Linked DNA regions of Kluyveromyces lactis. Each later gene encodes a partner of the first gene's protein in a complex. Links are inferred from orthologs where the notes say so. Each region holds a gene or a part of one and is shown on either strand. Other genes may lie near its edges.

Evidence for each region.
Region 2: EHD3 (region 1) and RSM7 share a complex: the UniProt entries of both Schizosaccharomyces pombe proteins name them as parts of the mitochondrial small ribosomal subunit. The link is inferred for Kluyveromyces lactis from reciprocal best matches to the Schizosaccharomyces pombe genes snr1 and rsm7.

Annotation. Positions count from the first base shown.
Region 1 is NC_006042.1:1,715,671-1,718,946, reverse strand, and holds EHD3 (mitochondrial 37S ribosomal protein mS47), read right to left. Parts: upstream 2,058-3,276; coding exon 543-2,057; downstream 1-542. Other genes in the region: ubiquitin-specific protease UBP14, read right to left, coding at 1-209; KLLA0_F18656g (sphingolipid delta(4)-desaturase family protein), read left to right, coding at 3,205-3,276. UniProt on the Schizosaccharomyces pombe protein: Component of the mitochondrial ribosome (mitoribosome), a dedicated translation machinery responsible for the synthesis of mitochondrial genome-encoded proteins, including at least some of the essential transmembrane subunits of the mitochondrial respiratory chain.
Region 2 is NC_006041.1:511,986-515,097, reverse strand, and holds RSM7 (mitochondrial 37S ribosomal protein uS7m), read right to left. Parts: upstream 1,614-3,112; coding exon 819-1,613; downstream 1-818. Other genes in the region: EDE1 (Ede1p), read right to left, coding at 1-17; KLLA0_E05765g (uncharacterized protein), read left to right, coding at 300-746; PSY4 (Psy4p), read left to right, coding at 2,554-3,112. UniProt on the Schizosaccharomyces pombe protein: Component of the mitochondrial ribosome (mitoribosome), a dedicated translation machinery responsible for the synthesis of mitochondrial genome-encoded proteins, including at least some of the essential transmembrane subunits of the mitochondrial respiratory chain.

The DNA.
Region 1 (3,276 bases):
AGATCATGGGTAGAACCAGTCTCACTCAAAACAACCTCTTGATGTAGTTCCCAATGCTCTTCGGAGAAAGACTGAAAGCAGCGTAGACAGATGAATAATGAATGTTCACGACCCTCATCTTTATTCTTCATCGTTTCAAAACAATAAACACAGTCATCTGTATCAATGACCCTGGGTACATTGATATCAAGGATATCAGAACCAGACATCTTTAATTTGAAGGCAGATATGATGCGTTGTGGAGCTTTGTTCTTATATATTGATGTTCTATTTCTTGCACACTCATTTTAAAGGATCAAACTCCAGTAATTTCAAATTTTAAACCATGCCGTAATTATGGAAAATATAACAAAGAATTAGGTAGATGAACGAGTTTTAAAGTAGAACGCATCAATTAGAGCTGTATTTAACTTATGGCACCCTTATGTACTGCCGAAGAACAATGCCATTCTAAGAGAGGATAATGAAATTTATTGCGTGTAGGTTAATCGTAAGTGTATTTACAAGTGTTCGATGTACTATATAATCGAAATGTATAGTTTTTATAGTTTAGCAGAGGAAGTTTTCCATCTTAAGAAACCATCTGGGTTTGGAACACATTTTCTGTCAATAATAAAACCTACCAAGTAGTCTACGCCGGTCTTACTCTTCGTGGCGGGGTTCAATTGTTGGAAGAATTTGACAGCTTCCTTCTTAGTAACTGCAGTTTGTCTTCCATGGTTGTCAGCACCTGTGATATATTTCTCAACTAGAGTTTCGTTTGGTAATTGGTACTTGCTATGATGTGGGTATTCAGAGAAAGTAACTAAATTTGATGGGCGGATCAACGACACCGGGTTTGAGGAGTTTTGTGAGATTAGAACTGATATTTGGGCTAATTTCAAATCTTTGATCTTCCATTGGTATGGGGTCTTGTTCTTTTCTAGCAATTTATGACTAGTGGCCTCAGCAAATTCACATAGGTCCGGAGATTCTGACATTTTAGTAGCAGTGATCAAATCTTGGGTCAAGGCGGTTTGAATGTCAGTGAAGGAGTTTCTTTGGAAAAGTTCTTTTGCGATTTCCAAAGAAACAGGGGATTTGCTAGCTAGCATTTGCTTGGTCTTTGCAGCAAACTCCTGAGCTGTTTGTGATACTGTCTTTCCAGCAATGACCTCATCCAATTTGGAGTAGATTTGCTTCAAACTGTTACCGATATCGAAACACTGTTCAATGACGTTTAGTTCATCAGCAGTGTACTTGAACTTGTAGTCTCTTGGTAATGGTGCGTTGAATTCCTCAATAGCATGGTTGACAACATCGAAAATTTCATCATCACGGTTAGTCGATTGAGAAGTGGCTTCAGTCAAATGTAACTCAGCCAATCTTGCCTGTAAGTTGGAGATCTGATCATGTGGCACATAATGAGAAGCGACACCAGCCACGTAAGCATCGGCACCATTCAAAATGTCACCAGTCATGCACAAGTACTGAGCCAATTGTCCGTTGGAACCACCAACAGTGGTAAGCTTTGGAATAGAGAAAGTGGCACCGACATCTGGGAAGAATCCAATATCCATCTCAGGCATGGCCCAACGAGTATTTTCAGTAGCAATACGGAATGGAATATGAGTAGATAGACCGACACCACCACCCATGGTGATACCGTCCATGATAGAGATGACCGGCTTGTTCAGCGTAGCTAGAGCCAAGTTTAACGAGTATTCCTTGGTGAAAAATTCTCTAGCGTAATCAAAATTTCCTTCCTTAACCAACTTGGCTACTTGAGCTACATCGCCACCTGAACAGAAGGCCCTAGGACTAGCTGAAGAGTTCAAGATAACAACATTGTTAACGGTACTCTTGGCATATTCTTGCAATGTGGGCAAGATGGCACTGCACATCTCAACATCCAATGCGTTCAATTTCTTTGGTCTATCCAAAGTGACCACTCTGGCAGTGGAATCGACTCTAAACTTAACTTCAGACATAAATCTTAATTGATTAACAGCCAATCTGGTCTTCAAAACGTGTCTCAATGACTGTTGCTGTGCTCTACAATAGGAATGCCTCAACATTATGGAATGCTATGGTAAAAATGGGTATAATAGATGATGTTGATAACCCGCCAGGATATTATAAGACGCTGTAGATCTCGGTATATATAGATATATTTGGTCAAAGATATCAACGTAAGTTAAGTATGCAGCAATTAAAGGGAGACTGCTACCATTCTTCTGTTCTCGTCAAGTTCGTTCCACTCAATGTTCAGGTTCAAATTTGTTTCAGCAGATGGAGAATAGTGAGTGACCAAAAAAAAAAAGCTACTACGATTGTTGAACAATTTCAGTACCTAATGGATTGAGCAATTCTCCAACTTGAAAGGGGATAATAAGACAAGATAGCCAAACTGCGAAGCAATTTAAGGTCGGTAGCAAAGGGGGTACAGAACTTATGTACGCGTATAATTGCATTCATCCGGGGTGGAAGCAAATCCTGTATAAGATTGAACCATAATCTTGCAGCGGTTTGTCACATCGTTTGACATTTGAAATGATTTAGAGTATGTCAGGATTGGATCGAAATATATCAGTTTTGCATATTTAATGGTTAAACAGATATTGGTGGGGCCCTTGGTACCACCAACCCTGTGTCTGATGTTAGAACAGGGCGTTCCCTCTCTGTGTCTTTGTTTCACGTGACCGTACTTTTTCCCATTTCCCTTAAAGCGTAATGAAAAATTTCTTTCTATCGCTCGAGAGCACACGGAACAGCAACATCTCATCGCATGGTTTTTGTTCGTTTAAAGATATATTGTAATTCCAATTACAGATTTCTTTCTAAGTATAAACCACATTTCTTAGCAGGCTTTGCTTGCGTTTAGGTTTGTGTATGTGTTTGAATTTATCACATCATAAGATCAGTTCTTTTTCGGGATTTAAGGATTTTAGATTTTAAATTTTAAAAGCTTAAGTTCTTTTAAATAGTCACGCATAAACATAGGATTTATACCTGATCCAACTGGTGTGGTTACATTGAGAATATCAGTATCAAACTCAATAATAAGATTCTAGGCAGGCTTGGAATCAAGGATCAAGAACTGTATTTTTGTCAAGCGTGTTTCCGGTTCCTGTTTTTTTATCGGCATTGTTTTACTTTCAAGTTTTGATATAGCATCGGAATCGCTATCTTAACAAGAAGAGAGCTTCATTAAGACCCTTAGACATGACAATTGTTCATAGAGATTTGAAAGTCTCTGAGAAATTTGTCGACGTTCCAAGTGCAGATGAGGATTTT
Region 2 (3,112 bases), on another chromosome or scaffold:
AACGCAATACCTGACATGGTTCCCAGAGGCGTGGTGGATGTGTATCTGTTGCAGTTTATCGGCTATATTTCACGAAAGGGGTTTCGACCATTTGATCCAATTTGTCGTTATTCAATTATCTCAAAAAGATGATGAAACTATATAATCGTGCAAGATGACTTTCGGATCGCATAAAGAAGTGAAGCATTGATGTAGGATTAAGGTTTCCAATGCGATGAGAGAGTTGAGTTTATCACTTCATTTAGAAATTGTGTAGAGTGTATGCAACTCTTATTGAGAGTTTTTATGAAAATTGATAAATGATAAGATATAAATACGCAGTAACATTTTTCTCGAGTGTATGTTTTGTTGTCTTCCTCGGATTAACTACTGATGCCAGGTTAAAGCTAATAACATCAACTCATGATAAGCTCGCCCATTGCATAGTATTTTGCATTGAAACCGTTCTGTTTACCATGATGTTTGAATGTGATACCGTACAGTTGCCGGCATTCATCCCCAAAAGACTACGATCAAGGAATTTGGCTGCGTACGAACCTTTTTCCATGAACAAATATCTATTGGCATTTATTGTATGCTGCGTATGTGCCAGTACGAGCAGTGAATTTGCACAACAGTTCCTCTCACGAGGAAAAAGGTCCTTTGATGTAAACGATATTTTGGCCAATTTTTCGGGAAGTCTGCTGGGCCTAGGAATTGCATATAAGATAGAGCAACAAATTCAGCATAACTATGAAAATCGATAACGTTCATTTATATTTCACGTATACATATGTACAGGTTTATTCAAGTAAATACAGTGGAGGTTGGAACTTTGATCATTTTAGGTTAATGTAAGCTCTGTGTGCAATAGCAGTCTTATGAATAGAGTCTCTCTTTTCGAAACCTGAACTATTACCGTTGAAGACAGATACCAATTCTTCACCAAGTCTTACTGAGAAATCGCTCGATGATCTCTTCACAGAACTTTCCACAATCCATTTCCAAGCTAATCTAAACCTTTGTCTTTGATTCAATGGAACTGGAACCACAGTGGCCTTTGCGACACCAGTCTTGAAGGTCTTGATAACCATAAGAGGCGCCAACACATCCAAGGATTCTTTCAAAACTTTTACCGGGTCTTTCCTTGTTTGACAGAACACAATATATAACGCTCTTGAAAGAATCTTCTCAGCTCTTTCTCTTTTCCCGTGTCTCATAATCATATTCGTTACATGCTGTAAAACTGGATCCTGTTTTTTTGGAATGGGAACTTGCTTCAACGTTTCCCATTCATTTATTTGCTCTTGACTTGGCTCAAAGCTGGGCTTGTTCAATTCCATAGCCTTCTCCAAGATATTAATTCTAGATTGGTTACCTGGTGCAAGGGACGTAGCTGGGTTATAATCTTGTTGCGAAAACTCTTCTTCTAACGATCCAATAACTTTCAACCATTCATCAACCTGTTCGTCGCTAAGGCTAGCTAATTTCTCCCCTGTAGACGCATTATTATTCACAGATTGACTTTGGAATCTGGTTTGCATGGTCGGTATACTGGCAGCATGTACAAGTGGACTTCTTGCCAAAACGTTAGCATGGACGTGACTCAGACTAAACCTTCCTGCTCTCAACATACTGTACAATTTCCGTTGAATAGATGCCAGTGTACACAAGGACCACACAAGGACACACACAATACAACCAGAACCTATTCAATCTAAGAGTAACTCTCATTAGATCCAAATTCAAGCTTACTTCACCAGAATATGATGATATTGAATTTGGTTTGAAAATCGTAAATTTTTTTGATCAAAGGTTCAGAGATGAGCCAGTGTGAACAGTGTTACCCGCATAAATACACGTGACTACTAATGATCTGTTTCTATGTGCCGTTGGTAGTTTTGCCTGTCAGTGCATTGAGCACAAGCTTGCCAAGAATAATTAATGATATTATATAGACTGTACCTTATTAGACACCTTAGCCTTTAATATTATAGTAAAGATGTCGTTGATCTATTTTGTATTCAGGTATGTAACTATAGTATCTTTAGAACTTCCGTACTTAAGTGTTAAAATTCCTGCCGTTCTTAAGTGAAATCCTTTAAATAATATCACATTTCGTTACGTGAAAAGTTGGTGAAATTTGTTATATGCGCACAATATTATGTGAAATGATAAATAAAAGAAATTTGTTCAAATAACATGTAGGTTTCTAAGCTACAAAGATAGAACGGTCAATCAACAGACTAGAGAACGAACTTTATAAGGCTGCTGGCTGAGCTGGGATTGGCTAACCGTGTACTGTCTATTGGGACTAGGTGTTACAAGTCCGTTGTTTCATATTATTTTCCGAGACTATCCTTTTTATCTATTCTATATCTGCCAGTTTGGAATAAAAAAGGCATCGCTCATACTGGACTTATTTGTGCTAATTAGAATACCCCGAGAACACCGATCTTTCGTTAGTGCCATTTCAAGGAGATCTAACCAAGTGTAATATTACTATACCGTAGAATTTTTTTTTTTTTGCCAGCCTTTCCTACTATCAGCTCATTAATCAGATACATTGTCAATATGATGGGAATAAAATCCAGACATCTATACGACCGTTTGACTAAAATAGTTATCGATAAAGATCTAAGCGCGTTTAACGAAATATCGCCTTCGCAATTGATCCCACAGCTATCTGAACATTTCAGCATAACGATACCGAAGGAGATCTTCAATTATAACGAGGACCAAGAGGAAGACCTTTTACACAGATTGAAAGAGCTATCGAGGTACCTTGTTGTGAAATTTGCAAAAAGAGATAAGTATCCGTTCACGATTCAACGGATATGCGAATTATCTTACCATCCATTACAATATTTCCCTGTGCACAGTTTGCAAAAGTTTGTGTCGGCCATGGAGAAATGTTGCTTGGTGAATACTGATTGGACACCCAGGCTGGGCAAAGAGTGTCCAAACACAAACCCAATGGAAGATGTTTCTCTGATACCTATTGAGTGGATCCGCACGAATAAAGAAGATGAGAAGTCTTTGCAGGCGTTTATTTCGAAGATTGAAACTATAGTGGCTGTAAATTTTGGTTATGATGACTTCGACGACGACAATGAAGATGGTACAGATCATG